Zea mays: one gene and its partner. The protein of the gene in region 1 interacts with the protein of each later gene in a pairwise test. Links are inferred from orthologs where the notes say so. Each region holds a gene or a part of one and is shown on either strand. Other genes may lie near its edges.

Evidence for each region.
Region 2: the proteins of Protein farnesyltransferase subunit beta-like (region 1) and protein farnesyltransferase/geranylgeranyltransferase type I alphasubunit interact in binary tests that used the Arabidopsis thaliana proteins (3 or more experiments, as listed by UniProt). The link is inferred for Zea mays from reciprocal best matches to the Arabidopsis thaliana genes ERA1 and FTA.

The regions. Positions count from the first base shown.
Region 1 is NC_050098.1:205,213,385-205,221,791, reverse strand, and holds the start of Protein farnesyltransferase subunit beta-like, read right to left. Parts: upstream 3,922-8,407; 5' UTR 3,861-3,921; coding exon 3,688-3,860; exon of another isoform or gene 3,484-3,687; intron 3,355-3,483; coding exon of another isoform or gene 3,340-3,354; coding exon 3,253-3,339; intron 3,157-3,252; coding exon 3,015-3,156; intron 2,532-3,014; coding exon 2,449-2,531; intron 2,376-2,448; coding exon 2,322-2,375; intron 2,224-2,321; coding exon 2,172-2,223; intron 2,106-2,171; coding exon 2,041-2,105; intron 1,935-2,040; coding exon 1,878-1,934; intron 1,806-1,877; coding exon 1,733-1,805; intron 1,533-1,732; coding exon 1,446-1,532; intron 1,370-1,445; coding exon 1,228-1,369; intron 813-1,227; coding exon 706-812; intron 406-705; coding exon 169-405; 3' UTR 1-168. Other genes in the region: pentatricopeptide repeat-containing protein At4g32450, mitochondrial, read left to right, coding at 4,319-4,437, 4,848-7,020. UniProt on the Arabidopsis thaliana protein: Catalyzes the transfer of a farnesyl moiety from farnesyl diphosphate to a cysteine at the fourth position from the C-terminus of several proteins having the C-terminal sequence Cys-aliphatic-aliphatic-X (CaaX).
Region 2 is NC_050097.1:199,354,600-199,363,006, reverse strand, and holds protein farnesyltransferase/geranylgeranyltransferase type I alphasubunit, read right to left. Parts: upstream 4,739-8,407; 5' UTR 4,555-4,738; exon of another isoform or gene 4,234-4,554; intron 3,721-4,233; 5' UTR 3,644-3,720; coding exon 3,422-3,643; intron 2,755-3,421; coding exon 2,645-2,754; intron 2,408-2,644; coding exon 2,287-2,407; intron 2,174-2,286; coding exon 2,078-2,173; intron 1,617-2,077; coding exon 1,185-1,616; 3' UTR 889-1,184; downstream 1-888. UniProt on the Arabidopsis thaliana protein: Essential subunit of both the farnesyltransferase and the geranylgeranyltransferase complex.

The DNA of each region.
Region 1 (8,407 bases):
ACAAACATAATTCGGGACACGACCATTACAACAGAGAGATTTATCCAGGCAATCCACCTGACCAAACATACAAATACCCTGGTATAACACGACTAAGTTACCATCATTCGTGCAAATAACACAATCGTACACAACCTTAGCCAATTGTTCTTAGGTTCTAACATTAGATCACTCTTCTGAGAAGAACTCATAGGCTGTATGGTACTTATCTAGGACAACATTGTAGAGTGGATGGATTGGCTCCAGCAAATTAGAGTACGGTCCAAGCACATGCTGAGGTAATGGGCACGAACCAGTATCAGTCATGGCACTGTACTGGCTAACTGCGAGGCCACTGAGGCAGTAGCATGAATGATAGTGATCTCTGTTCTTTCCAGGCTTATCCCTCAAGCCTCCCTCTAGTACCTGAGTTACAGAAGCGATTGTAATCTTAACTTATCTGAGATCTCATTTCCTCAATAAATACTCCCTCCGTTCCAATTTATAGGTTGTTTCGGCATTTTTCGGCACATAACTTTTGCTATGTATGTAGACATTGTATATCTAGGTGCATATCAAAAGTTATGTAACCTAGAAAAGCTAAAACAACTTATAATTTCGGGATAGAGGGTGGTAACAACTATAATAAGACGGCATTGCAGAATTTCACATTCTAGTGATAAAACTCTGCATATGAAAATAATATTGTATTCAAAGTTACCTCACCTGAGAACAAAGTAGGATGTATTGTTGCAGGGCAATGTTATGGAAGAGTGGGCCAATTTGGTTGCTCTGTTGTATAAAATCAAATCCAAACTTCGCATAGTCCACAGCTTCAGGAGAACAAGCAAAACATTTGAGTATCATGACATAAATCAAGCCCCGCATAATTTGAAAATCAATACGTTAGTTCAGGTCAGGTCATGATCTTATGGGGGCATTATAAATTTGCACATCAAATGCACCAAAAGTATAAACAGTACGAGGAATGGCATTAGGTCGACAGTAAGCGGCAAGGTTTTAAAAATTGATAATCGGTACTGTTTGCTCACCCACCTACTAGAAAATATACAGCAAAACTGCCTTTTTTTAAGTTATCAGTTGATTGCTGCATTGCACGAGGAATAAAGAAGTTCCAATCAATTACAGTTTACATCTATCTACAAAAACTTCTTTCATATTTATCACAAACAAAAGTGGAGAAATAATTTTCAATCCATAAGAAAAAAAAATGGTCCTGATTCTTACCAGAGGAAGACTTTTTCGCGGTGCACCCATATGAACTGGTGCTGCAGGCATCCTCTCCTGATGGCCTTTTGCAGGAATACGAGGACTTCAATTGCTTATCAACAATCGTAATTAACTTTTGTGTGAAAGCAATGGCAGCTCCCTGGTCACACACTAGATTTCTGTAACATGGAGCACAACATGTGGCAAAGATAAAAGTAGACAGATGTTACAATTACCTGCCAAAAGGAGTAGCAACCATCAACCAATTTATTAGTTCGTCCTTGAAATCCGCATTCCACTCCTTGACGAAAAGCCACCCAGCCCTAAATGGTGAAGATGCCAGCAACAACGCCAAATATTGTAACAAAAACAATTGTTGCATCAGCCAAACACACAAGTATCTACTACTTGTCATGCACTTTCACCAAGGAGCTAAAAAATAACTTAATGATCTAATACACATAAACACATCATAATTATAGAAGTAAATTAAATAAACTAAGGGAGGAAGAGGTTATCTTACAATCAAACTAGGCAAGTCAACTTTCTCTGCCTCATTAAGCAGGATCAAAGCAGCCAATCCACAGAATGTATACCTTATGAATGCAACTTTGTTAATGTTCTTAACATATAAATTTCAAACTTCACAGAAATCCTTAGAAACATACCCACCATGTGCTTCAGCATAAGGCTCCCCAGCAATACCACCTTCATAAGTTTGACATCTGCAGTCATATAGTATATCAATTGAGCAACATTCTAGAAAAGAACTGTGACCAAGCAACAATTTTGCAACTGGAAAAAATTGAATGTATATAACACAAACAAAACCTTGCTATGTAGTCGCCTACACCTTTTGCCAGTTTAAAATCAAGAATATTCACAAGGCTGGCAACCTAAAGTCAACATCAGAAAATATCAAGTAACTGCAGAAAAATTGCAAAGGACCAAAAGAAACTCACCGATATAGCGGTGTAGGAAGCACGGACATCAATTTCGCCACCATCATGCATTCTAGGGCAAAGGAAAAAATGAGTGGCAGGCATCACCTCTGAAGGGCTACAACTGAGAAAGTGGTATCTGTACATTATCCACGCTGATAGGTTGCGTACCTGAAAGCACCTGATACATCTTTCATCTGCAGCATAAAATTGTACAGGTTGCCCCTGACCCACAAGGTAAACATAATTAACAAAATGACTCTTGTAGATCTTGTTTTAGAGCAACCATGAGATTTACCTATTGATTGATGACAATGCTCTTTCGCTCCCTATTGTCACAAGTGTATTTACAGCAGCATAAGTCGTAGCTAGGTGAGGCAACTGCAAAGGACGTGGACTTTGTATAAAAACAATCTATAATTTACCCTCTTGAATGACTCAAACTCAACATAAATGAACTCAAACAGACTTCATAAATCAATAACAAACAAGATTTCTGGTTCATAAGTAATGCTAATTGAATGAGAAGGCTAATTTAAAGCACCCAATAATTTAGCTTTGCTATCTAAAAAGATAGCCTTGAGTATACAAATCAAAAGCATAGTACCCACCACCACCGGCAGATATTTTGTTTGTTACATGGACATGCTAATATCAACTAAAAATGCTACAATTACAACCAGGTGAGCTAAAGAAGGATTTAATGTGAAACAACAAACATATATGTCCTCGGCGATTCATTGGACATATCCAAGGCTAATGCATGCACTACATAAATCGAAGATCTTATTTAGAAAAAAAATCAATGCTAATAGCAAAATCAAAGATATTATCTAGCTCAAAAGATTTTGGGATTGGAGCAACCTGTCCAGGTCCACCACTATATCCACCATCTTTATCCTGACATCGAGCTAAGAAGTCTATGATATCATTCTCAAGATCATCATCAAGTGCTTCATCCAGCAAAGCAAGTGGATGAACCATCCAGTAGCATAGCCAAGGGCGACTGAAACCAATTAAAAGCAATACCAGAACAAATATGCATTAGTGTCACAATCAAACAGGATATTGCAAAGATAACTTAACCATGCACAATCATTACTTGGCATCTAGAACATGAAAGGCTGGTCCCATATGCCTCAGCCCAGGCGTCAGATACTCGATATGCTGATCACGCCACAGCTCTAGCCTGCACAGAAAACAACTCGACAACAAAAGGCTGATGAGGAGACAGTGGACCCACACCCTAATATCAACTCACATTCAAGTGTTTGTGTCTAAGACGCTATCCAACAATACATAACTAGCAGTACTAAGCTTCTGTACGCACCAAATCAGAAACCCTGCACTGAACTATCTGGTGCCACGGGCAAAGTTATCAGAGGACTAGCTATTTTTCAAGCTACAGCGTATCAAATACTCCAATATCCAAACTAAATCCATGCGTTGAGACCCGCCAAGCACTGCCGGCTGTCGGCAGCCAGGGGATATACTCAAATAGAAGTGAGAAAACTAGCGTGTGCTTAGGGATGCTCACATGATGGATTTCGTGTTGGGCGCGGCCCCGAAGAGGGAGCGGTAGATGTCGCCAACCCTGGCCTCCACCTTCATCTGCTCCACCTGCGTCACCGTGAGCCTCGGTAGGTCGGGATCCGCCGCCGCTGCCGGGTCGTCTCCGGTGGGCGGCGTCGACTGCGGGGAGGGGTCCATGGACGCAGCGGCCTGGTGTGGAGTCGGAGGCGGAGCGCCGCCGCCTGGCTGCGCTCTCGAGTGCTGCGGCCTGCGGTTTCGGCAGTGCTGCCCTTGCTGTTGCGGCCTTGCGGGGTCCGGTTCTCGGCTGCTTCGGTGTTGTGGTGAGACGGGTGAGCGGAGCAATCTTACGATGCCGCGAGACGGGTGAGCCCAACCAATAATTTCATTGAGCCGGCCCAATCACACTGACCAGAGCTATGTTATCCAACCCGATACCACACCAAACCCACGACGGCACCGCAGCAACCCATTCCATAGCCACGCGAGTGACGCGACGCGACGCACGGCCTGCCTGAGGCAGCGCATCTGCTTGGCGGCCGGGAGCAGCCGCCGCTTCGCCTTCGTGAGGGTTTAAGCGACGAAGAGAAAGGGGAGGAAGCGAGCCCCCAGGGAGGTGCAGAGGGAGAGGGTGGGAGATGGCTGCAATGGTTGGAGCGCGTAGGGCGCTCTTGGCCGCTCGGTTCTCTCCTCGCGGCACCATCGCGGCGTCGGCCGCGCCAGCTCCCCTCTACCGGCCCATGGATTCGCCACTCAGGTACTGTGCCACTGCCTCGGTGCTGACTCGTTGATTCATATGACGCGATGCTATTCCTTGTTGCTAATCTTTTTGTTCTAGGCTAGAGTTTGGAGATCTTCTCAAGCGATTTGGTTCTCTGTAAATTGTTCCCAGTTGCTAAGAACAGAACAGAATATAACTTTTTAAAAACAAAAGGTAGCCAATTATTCTGGGAAGGAAATTTCTAGTCATTTTTGCCTGATTAGAACATGAATTATTCCTTGGACCTTGGCATAGACTCACAGTAATTCTAATTCGTGTTTCTGTTCACTAGGATGTTGCTTGTTACTTTTCAAAATGGAAAAAACACTTACCTGTTAGGAGTGACATTGCACCTGAAAATTTTCAATTCAGGGTCATCCTAAAAGCATGGTTCTTTTATCTTGCAGGCTTCCAGCTGAAAGAGTTTGTCTACAGTCTTGGGTTCCACATCGAGGGGCTGGTACCTTTGCATCTGAAAGGACTGATGAAGATTATCAGCGTGAGTGGGGACAAAACAAAGCAGGTAGCTACACTGACTCCCGTTGGAACGGCTCTAATCTCCAACTTCAGAGAGATGTCACTTCAGCTGGTTCCACAACAGGTACTCACAAAAATAAGGGTGTGGATGGTGTTGGTGGCAGTTCTGAGCAACATTACAGAAGTGGTGGATCATATGGCTTTCAAAACAATCATCAGCCATATACTGGTACAAGAGCGAATAATGAGAGATACAATGCATCACAACCTTATAGAGGTAGTGGTCCATACAGCCAGCAAGGCCTTGATGGACATTTTTCAAATGATCGTCAACAGTACAATGGCACAGAAGCTAATAGTACATATAGCTCTGGATACTACACCCAAAGTAAGCAGAAGATTTATGAAGGAGAGGGAGCTAATAATGGGCAGTATGGATATGGTCCTTCAGGACAACCATGTCCGAACCCAGTTGGAAATAGCCAGCGAGTTCAGAAACAGCAATATGTTGATCATAGATCTGGGGGAAGTTATCCAGATAGATCTGGGCATCATCCCTCTCAATATGTAAATCCAACTCATTCCCGTAAGGAGCATGTTGCAGGGTTTCAGCAAGGCAACAATAGTAATTTTGGATATAATGCTTCGCAGGCATATCAAAGCCCTTATTTCACTAGGCAGGCTGATACACATAGTACTTCTCAAGGATATTCCATGTACCTAAATACAGATGTGCAACGCCTCTCTCATGGAGTTCATCAAGAAAAACATTCACATGCACAATCTGCTGGATCATTTGGGAACCATGTAAATAGTGCACCTCATGAATATGGCAAATATCATCAGTCACTACAAGGCAACCCTTCAAATGTTGGATCGCCTTACGAAGTACCTAGTGAAGCTGGCAGCAAACACAAATGTACTGTTGAAGAACTGGAGAAGTTTTGTGATGATGGCAATGTAAAAGAAGCTCTGGAAGTTTTGGCTATGCTAAAGGAAAACAGAATTGTGCTACATGCTCCTCAGTACTTCAGATTGATGCAAGCATGTGGTGATGCAACTGCCCTTTCAGAAGCAAGATTAATACATAGTCAAATATCTGAATCATCACTTACTGTTGACACAGATTTTCAAAACAAAATTATGGAGATGTATGCTAGGTGTGGTTCTATGGAAGATGCAAAGAAGATTTTCAGTTCTATGGATCATCATAATTTGACTTCTTGGAACACTATGATCTCAGGTTTTGTGCACAATGTTCTTGGTGAAGAAGCAATAGATTTTTTTGAACGGTTTAAGCAGACAGGGGACAAGCCAGATCATGGCATGTTCAGACATGTTTTCTTGGCATGTGGAATTTTGGGATCTGTTAATGAAGGAATGTTGCATTTTGAATCCATGCAGAAAGATTTTGGCATACATCCCACTACAGAGCATTATGCAAGCATTGTTACTATGCTTGGACAGTCTGGCTACATTGTCGAGGCTTATGAATTCGTGGAACGGATGCCTGTGGAACCAAGCATTGAGGTATGGGAAAATTTGATGAACATGTGTCGACTTAATGGCTTTTTAGAGCTTGGAGATCGTTGTGCTCAGATCATAGAGTGCTTGGATTCTTCTAGGCTGAATGAACAGTCTAAAATGGGTCTGTTCCCTGTCGATGTGTCAGATCTTGCAAAGGAAAAGGAAAGGAAAAAGGCAAGTGTCGCCGAAGCTCGGAGCAAGGTCCATGAATACAGAGCTGGCGACCGATCTCACCCTGACACTCCTAAGATCTATGAAGAGCTGAGGTATTTGTTGGCTCACATGAAGGAAGCTGGGTATATTGCTGACACTCGATTTGTTCTTCACGATGTTGATCAAGAAACCAAAGAGGATGCTTTACTGGCTCACAGTGAGAGGCTGGCTATCAGTTACGGTCTTATAACAAGTGCTCCCCGCTCACCTATTCGGGTTATAAAGAATCTTCGATCCTGTGGGGATTGTCACACGGCTTTCAAGATAATCTCAAAACTTGTTGGACGTCAGATCATTGCAAGGGATGCAAAGAGGTTCCACCACTTCGAAAATGGTGTGTGTTCTTGCAAAGACTACTGGTAAACAAGATGAAAGAAAGTCCACATCTTGGTCAATTTTTATTGGCACAAGACCGCTATAGGTTGTTTATGTGCTGAAGGTAGGCTGATGCCTATCTAACATTTAGTTAGCTAATAGTTTCATGTGAGAGACATGCTGTATGATGTCGTCAGTGAGAAACAGCCAAACAGGTCCTAAGCAGCTCTGGTGTTCTATTTTGCAGCTCATACGTTAAGCCTGAGCTTTTACTTTAACAACTGTTGTCTCTGATTTGTTACTTGCCACCAAAATAAAACAGTAGAATGTAACTGGGTAGTGGTCCCTTGGCATGTAAACTTTGATTCAGCTGATTACAAAGCTTTCTGACTGCATTCTGGATCCATTGCTTATATAGCTAGCAGGAGCCTTTTCTTGTGCCTGTTTGGCTTCGGCTGTGGATTGGGCTTTTCGGTCACGCTCCGCCACTGCAGCTCAGACGTGTGGTGTTGAATGGTGGGGGTGGACAAAATAACCAATAGCCTATCTCCAAACCCAAATTACTTGAACTAAACCTAAAATATCTGATCATAATTTCAAATAATAATTATTAAAAAAATAAAATTTAATTTAAATAGTTAAGGTAATATTCCCTAAATACTATAACCATTTGAGATATTTGCTCTTCTATATTTCTAAATATAAAGACATGAGGGTGGCTAGAGGTGTGCATGGTTTGGCTTTTGACTTTAGCTTTTGCCTCCTAAAAGACAAAAGTTAAATCAAAGGGCTGGATTTAGAAGCATTTTTTTAAAAGTCGACTTTCTCGAAAACTTTAAAGCACCTTTAGACCTGTTTTTAGCGGCTTTCGGATGAAACTGTGAAAATATATATAAAAAAACTTTTAGCGGCTTTTAGTGGTTTCCACCAAACGAGTTTTAGCTTTTTAACGACTCACAGTCTACAACAGCTTTTTTTACAGCTCACAATAGCTTTTTTTCACAGCCCAACCAAACAACCCTAGGTTTAGTGTAAATTTATTGTTTGGTATGACTAAATGTAGATCTATACTAACTTGATGACTGGGTTGTTGTTAATTGATGCGAAGGCATGATTTGATTATCATTGTTTATTGCTTTAAAATGCAAGTATATTTTTTAAAAACTATTGTTTTGATAATTTAAGGTATATCGGATAATAGTTCCCTGAACTTGAATTATCGGGTACCAAAATTTCAGATGGTTTTTTCCTGATCAAAATCAATAACAATTTCTAATATCTAAATATTAAATTACTCAAATTATCTGATTCAAAATTATAGGGCAATCGATTGCCCACACGAATGCACGAGGTGGTGGTACACATAAATCACGAGGGCATAGAATCTGTTTTAGTCCACAGAGCATCTCCAGCGCCTTAATTTAATGGTCTATCT
Region 2 (8,407 bases), on another chromosome or scaffold:
TATATTTTCTATTTTGTCAAATATTGTATTTTTTATGCATCTTATACTTTTTATTATTTAAAGTAATGTAATTAAAATTTGGTCTATGTATATTATATTTTTTATTTATTTTGAATAATACAGTTTTAATTTTTCTTTATGAACTACATAGTTTTTATTTGCTTATTTATGTGTTTGATGAATTTTTTTAATAAAACACCGTGTTTCATTTACTACAATATTAAATATGTAAAAGAAAAGTTAATATAATGTTGTGCACCAGAGAGTTACAATAGATAAGGATTAATGACGATCGACACCGTAGCCCGAAAGGGTTAGATCTAGCCTAAGCATCATTTTTAAGAAACAAAAGACTTTGTTCCACTTTCAACTCAAATTGAGTCAAGAAATGCTAAGGGAAAGCCCGTGAAACAATATAATCGAACTTTTACATTTTATTGATGTGGCCTTTTTAAAAATGACGCCATAAACCACTATACTGAAAACGGCCTCGGCGCTTAAACCAGTAGCATTCGTAGGTTCATTTCTGATTTGGGACTTCAAACCAATAGTGTTTGAGACTCACAGGTTTAGAACCGATTGGTGGCTGCCTTCAATCAAGAGCGAAACCAACATGTTATTGCCCACCTTAAAATCACAGATTTTGTATTATCGTGTACAATAAAAATCACATTCACTTATACTATATTTACTTTTAAATGATATATGTCCTGATAAAAGTTATGCCAGAGTCATTGAAAATCAAAGCAAATGGTTAGACTATTTTCAGCAGCGTACTCATCGTCATACCCATATTTAAAACTCTGCGAATATTACAATTTACAGTGCAGAAGAGTGCTTTAAGTGACCATATGAGTGAACTGCTCGACACGGTCTTCCGACTCTAGTGGAAGTGATTATGGGTCTCATTTAGGCTCCCATGGCAATTGTAATACATTAACAAACACACCTGGATTCAAGCTTACATGTGAAATATTCAAATATGGTTGCATAAGGTGTTGTTTGGAGCAGTAACACTCACAAATTTTACTAAACAAAATCGTTACAAGCACTGCTTTCAGTCACGGAGAAGGTAGCAGCCATACACTCTGTCCGCTCTGTTTGGGTGTCCAATGAAACTATCTAAAACATGTCTATCTCACAGAGCCCGGACCAGCGCGGACAAGGGGTGAACCCATGTGAAGTCATGAGATCTGAGAAAGAGTGTCCTTGAACCAAGACCAATAATTTACCCGCAGGGGATCACATTTCTGCAGGATACAGCAAACAGCGGCTGCAGGATCATCATCCGCGGTTTCAGGATGGGAGCTCCTTATTGTTTCAAGAGTGGACCTAAGTTCATCTGAAGGCTGCAAACCAGTGCAGAGAAGATCGAGCAGCAAACTCAAAGCAAATACACAAGTCCAATCATTCTTCAGGACCTTGAAACAAACAGCAGAGATGCGCTCGTCCTCTACTAGCAGGTTATTCTCACCCTTGTATAGACCCTTGAGGTACCTCCAGGGGCTTTCATTCTGAGCGTTTGCTAGAATAGCTTCAATTGTGTAGTCTACTTCTGAATCACGCATTGCCGCAAGGCCACCAAGAAATGGTGATCTTGTTATAACAAAGTATCTCTGTTGGAGAAAAAGTTAAAGATACTTCAGTGCAAGCTTAATAGCTGATCCCTATCAGTCAGCAGAAAAAAAAACACTTAGGAAGCAGCACAGGACACAGCAGGATGTAACAGGCAATATGAATGTCAAGAATAGTCATACAATCAACTTTGCCCAGCTTTGACAGATATGTACTACCTATGTTGGTTACATAGACATGATCTTATATACATTTTTTTACAAATAACAGAGAAAATGTTTACATAGGCGATTGTAATTTCTATAATGCCGTAGACTTTAAAATACAGGAAGTAAATCAGAATGCATACAGTTATCCATACTAATTGTATGAAATTAACATGGGATGATCTGCGAACTAAAATAATGAAGCAATGCAAGTTAAACTGCATAAAAACTGGAAAATTTTCTCAAACATGATGGGAAAACAAGAAAATTTTAAGGCGGAAATAATAGAGCATGACCTGATTCCAAGCTGAATTATTGAAGACGTCTTCCTTAAGTAAGTGGTCACAGTATTCTAATTCAGTCTCCCATCCCCCCAACGCTTGAAGAACCCACTATAACAATTGAATTAAGCAATCCCGTTAGTAGAAGAAAGATTTTACTGATACTCAGTTTAGCTTAGTACCCAAATTTGGAAACTTAGAATACAGAAAATGGGTACGCATACCTGCCTATGAGACCAAGCATGATAATTTTTTGCATCAATAGCAAGTATCTTCATTGTGAATTCATGCTCTTTGTTTGCAATACCAGGTCCTAATTTCTCAGCAAGCCATCTCTTATGGTGCCTGGTAATAAAATTGGACCATCAACAGTTAGTCATGATTTCCACTTTTCCAGAGCAAAGATAAAAGATGATCAAAGTTTAAAAAAACTATGGAAGATATTTAGTCAAGATATTGCCAATCATTCATGCAAAATCTGCAGACACCAAAGATAAATTAGTTTCTGTGAATTACTAAATGTGAAAAAAGATATGCAGTGAATTACTAAATGTGAAAAAATATATGTACAATGAAACTCACCAGATTTGGTAATTTTTTGGATTGCATTCAGCAATTTTTTCGACAAATTTCATCTCCTCTAGTAAATCAAAATCTAGTGACTCCAGAATAAGGCGCCGGAAATGCCAGACCTATCAAATAGATAATTATTCTGTATTGTCAAAAAAGTTACCATCAAAAGAATTGACTGATCTAAAAACAAATACATGATACAAAGTAAAACAACATGGTAATAAGCTGGTAATAGCATAATAAGTAATTCTCTGATACTACATAACATCAGTGCTGTTCAAGAATTATGTAGCATACTGCATGAAGCATTACAAGAAGAAAATTATGCCCAAGCAGTATGCCTTTACCTTCTATAAAAATCATGGAGGATGATAAAGTATTCTTTATGATTGAATGAGAGGCAGCATTAACATGAGAGGACAATCTTTCTAAAACTGCAACAGGCTACAGGCTAGACTAGGTAGTTTACATGGAAAATTCCAACTTTCTAAAACTGGCTCCACCTCCGCTGTTTTTTCTACTTTCTGTAGCAGTGTTGCATACTCATAACTGACTAAGACGAGTAGTGGATAACAAATTGTCTCCATTGTAGTCATTGAAGCTCACCACTAACACTTGGTTAGTTGGTTTCAAGTCAAATTGGAACGAAATGGCTGAACCTCCATAGTAAAAGTAGTATATTTTACCTTAAAAATCATTCTCACTTGTTCATAGAAACTTTAAGTTTCAAATAACCCCATAAAAAATTGAAGTATGCCAAGAAAAAAGGATGAAGGGAATTCTCACAGTGTAGTTGCCGGGGTTGAGCTCGATGGCCTCGGCGGTGAGGCGGAGAGCGCGAGGGCTTCGCTCACCGGTGAGGTAGAGGGCGCGGAAGTAATCCATGACCTCACGAAAGTCATCTCGATAGGCGATGGACACCACAGGGCTAGGCCCATCGTCCTGCGGCACCGGCACCACGTCGGCCAGTTCTGGCCAACTGCTGGGGCCTGACTTAGTGTGCTCCATGGGCGATGAGTCCAGCTGACCACCAGGGTTGGATCAGATCCGAATACAAATAGCTTAAGTAATTGCGCTGTCCAAATCTACAAACAGAAAAGTCAGCAGCAAGATAAGTGAAAAAACACAAAGAACCTAACAGTAATGTTGTCTAACAATTATTCAAGGACACTATTATTCTACTTGAACCATTGAACTGCCGTGTTTAGTCTATCAGTTTAATTTGTTATTTTCAACATCAACATAGTGCAGTGGTGTGACTGGTGTCCACAAGATTCATTTTGGCATCAACACAGGCCAATAAGACAATAATAAAGATTCAGTTTTCAGGCATCAACACACATCACACAGAGATTCGAATTTAAGTTAATTAATTTCCGTGTTCCTTTCATGGAACAGCAACCGGCCACAGGAGAGGGCCCAGTAAAGGACATGGGTGTACACATCTACACCCAATAATTTTGGCAAAGTCATCGAGGTTAGTAGGTATAATACATGCATATACACTTGTAATTAGATTCAGATCCGATTGCGAATAGTATGTTAGGGTTTGGGCGCACGGTTTCACACAGCAGGAAGGGAAGAAGGAGAGGCCGTACCTACGAGTTACGTCAAGGTTTGGGCACACGGTTTCGCACAGCAAGGGGAGCGAATACCAGGCGGTGCTCATCGCTGGCGAAGTAGGACAACAGCGATGGCCGTTGGGGGGGAGGGGGGGGGGGGGGGGGGGCATTCTTAGGTGATGCAAAAAGACAAGGCAGGGTAGGATTGCAGCATACAGGTACCAGCAGATTGTGTGCGTAATGATCTTTTTAGAGCGACGGCCGGTCTGAGGCTAGAGCAGAATCAAGCAGACGGAGAGGACGAGCTGTTGGCGTGGGACGGAGGGAGAATATCGTGGCACTGTGACGGAGACCTACCTGTGGAGCTGTGTGCCGGCCGCACCGGAGCTGGTCGAGGACGTTGGTCCCCAGGTAGTTCTCGACCGCGCGCGGTCTCCTATCCGGGTTGCGGTGCAGCGAGCGGAAGGAGCAGATCTGCCGCGGGCGAGACAAGTTCAGGCGGCAGGCGGAAGGGTGAGCTCGGCAGCGGGGGGAGAGGAGGCGGCCGCCGTCTGATTGGCACGAAACAGAACTGAATAAGAAGAGAGAAGAAAGTGATATTTTTTTTCATACTAGTCGGTTGCCGGTGCGTTGCGACGGCTTACAACAATACCAACATAAACTATCCATCAAAAAAAATTCAAGATTTTTTTATCGATCGTCTCCGCTCTCTGTATAATATATTTTTGATTTGGCTAACTGATGTTATTGTTTACTACATACAAATATGTCTTGGTACAACACAACCAATTAAGTGAGCGATTAAAAGATAGTTCACAACGATTGACTGAATGAACAGAGATTATAAAATGACATAATTCCATCATACAGAGATCAAATAAGAGAAAGTTTGCGAGATCAAGTTTATAAAATAAGTCCCGTGAAGTCAAACTTATAAAAAAGATAGATCAAAATATGGAGTGATTGCTAAAGTCAGGCATTAATAAAAACTGGATGCGCTTCATATAAATTACGCTACTTCGTAGCAATTATTAACGTTTAAAACTAACAAATAACCTTTCATTTTGCTGTTAGTGTGACCAATCATTGCTGCCCCATCTAATTCAGCAACCTCAAACACCATGTAGTCTATTGCGCCAATGTGGTCTCAGTCGGCCCGTAGTGCTGGACCGGCCCGACACGATTATTTTTAATTTTTACAAAAAAGCGTATATACCTATATACAATTTATATTCAATATTAAAAACATTTTAGCGTGATGTTCTACTGGTTAGACAATTTCACCTAGTGTCTCCCGCCCTTCTTCCATCAGGGCATGCGTTCGAACCCCACCTCCTACACTATTTTTTAACATTTTACGCATCTATAGACGTGCAACGAATTAATTTGAAATAGCTGTGAGGGGTTATTTGTAAAAAAATGACGCATGACGACCGTTGAAACTGGTGTTTTAAGTATAGTATAGATTTGGCATCGACAGGCTTGGAGATATTGGCAATTTTGACATTATGATTTATGGGTTTCGCCAGTATATCATCGGACCCACAAATCATAGACACAGATGGTCCTACCAGTCATAGATACAGGATGACATAATAGCAGACAACCAAAATTGGGAGTGACAAAATCACAAATTTCTCACATGCTTGAGAGAATTGGACCTGTGTCGGGTGTATCAAAACCCGTGACCACAAAAGTCTATCTAAATCCGTCTGCGATCATACCTGTGGACGTAATTTTAAACTCGTATCTAAACTTATCGGGTTTCAGATCATTGTACCTTTTAAGTAATATTTTAACTACAAACAATTAAATATCAACAATAATTGAGTTATATCTATAGATTTTAGCCTTCACATGTTGAGCAACAACAAAACACTTCATGAATCATTAGTCAAGTCACTTATTAAAAATAATTACTATTGTATCTTAATTATTGCGCAAAATAATGAATACACCAAATTTTAAGTCGGGTGCGGGTCACCCGCGGGTTTAAATAGAAATCATCAACCACACCCGCGAAACTTCGACCAGGTGTAGGTTGCATCCGTGGATCAAAATTTCACTAATACCTGCATCCAGTCGGGTTTCGGGGGTTAAATTGTCACCCCTACCTCGAACACGTCAATTACAATATTAGCATCATAATCCAGTGCACATTAAAGATTTGGTTTTGGCACCGCCTGATCTCCGTTAGGATCTATGCTCTTCCCTTCCTGTCCCTGCCTCTGTTCTTCCTCCTCCCGTCCATTTGCGCCGTCTCCTTGTGTATTCATTGCCGCAACAACTAAGGCTTTACGTGTCTCATCAACAGCAAAGGCAGATTTCAAGGCCGACCTCTCAGCGGTGTTTGCCATGCTAAAAAGAAACAAGATGGAAAATGGGGAGGAGACAAAAGGCATAATCAAACCCAACCAGTGACCAGCCAAATCGAATGAAGAAGAACTGTAGGCGAACAACCAGCCAAATCGCACAGATCTAGTGCTCAAGTGAGGAAGGCGACGGCTAGCAGCAGAGACCAAAGCTCCAAAGAGGGGCAAGAAAGGGGAGCAGCGATGGGGAATACGGGGAGGAGTAGAACAAACCCTAGGCAAACGAAACCAGGAGACGACACAAATAGATGGGAGGAGGAAGAATGGCGGTGTCGGTACCCTGAAACAGGGTACCTCTTACTACAGTATGAAGACGCGGTACTCGTACGTCGTTCCTTAGCCACACTGTGAACAACGCTCGTCCCCACCACATGGGCAGATCAAGGGGCACCATATGGCAAGGAAAGATGATACATCCAGGATGTGTCAGTCGAGCCGGACCTCCGCAAGGGAGCGCCGGACCCCTGTACGCACAACCCGGACCCCCGATTGTGGCCCGGGACTCCCGAGTAAGCGTGCCGGGTCCCTTGGATGGGGTCCAGATCCCTCCGAGTAAGGTCCGGGCCGCAACAAGGTCCTGGGACAGGGGAAACCCTGGCATGAGCAAGGGTCCGGTGCTGACGCGTGGCCGGGCTTTACTCTGCGCATGCGCTCCCCGCTCAAGCGGAGACCCGATGCGCCCACGTGGCTCGTTGCCCGTGACATAAGCCAGCGGGCGGAGCCTGGCGTAAGGCCCCTAGACCGCGCGGACTCTGCATTGGCGATGTGCCCCCTCAGCATTTATTGTGTCTTGTCCACTCCGCTGGCAGGCGGCGTCAGAGCCACCCTGCAGACGGCGCACCTGTCCAATCCACTATCAAACAGTGCACCGGTGCCGCACGGCGCACTGTGCTCATCATCCCTTATACGAGAAGCTTCCCCTGCACGCCGATACTACGCAGATCTCGAATGTCAGGGCGCAAGAAGATTGCTCCAGCAGCGAACATTTGTGGCTCCAAGTGCTACGTCTGTTATGTTCCTGGGCCCACATGTCGGGGCTCAGTACCTTTATGCATGCCCCCCTTAGCTATAAAAGGGGAGGCATGCAACGTTACAAGACAGGCTCGCTGGGACAGACTTAGGCCCAACTTAGACACTCAATTCTCAAGCTTCCACAGCAATCCAACATACAATGGAGTAGGGTGTTACGCTCCGGCGGTCTGAACCACTCTAAACTCTCGCGTGTTCATGTGCTTGATGTTCGCTTAGCAGGATAGGCAAAACGCTTAAGCCCCTTCCTCATCTTAGGATTTAGGGCGGGTGCACTCCGCCACCTGGCCGGAGAATTCCCTCTCCGACATTTGGCGCGCCAGGTAGGGGCCTAGGCATTAGGTTTTTGCTTGTTTCCTCGCTCGGCATGATGGTGCAAATCGTTGAGCACCGCGCCGAGACTTCCACGGATTTCCTGGTGGAGGAAGAAACTATTTCTTCCACGCCACAGGTTTCCAACCGCCCAATGCCGGGCACCGCTGTTGTGCACGCTGCACGGCAGCATACAGCCGCATAGACATCTCGGACTCCGTCGAGGGCGGCTTCGGGAGCGTTGTTAGCAGCCAGGGAGTTGTTGCGACACCCTCCAAGTTCCACGACCTCACTAGGGGCCATGAAGCAGTGGCGGAACGACGTCGACCGACTGCTCGGCATGGCGCATTCTACCTCGACCAGGTCGAGGTCACGGTCATCCCGACGCCAACATGAGGCGTCGGCGTCTGTGCGCTCACCCTCAGTAAGGGCACACAGACCAACGACCTCTGGGCCGAACTCAACCGCAGGCGCACGGGAGAGGACGCCCGAATCTC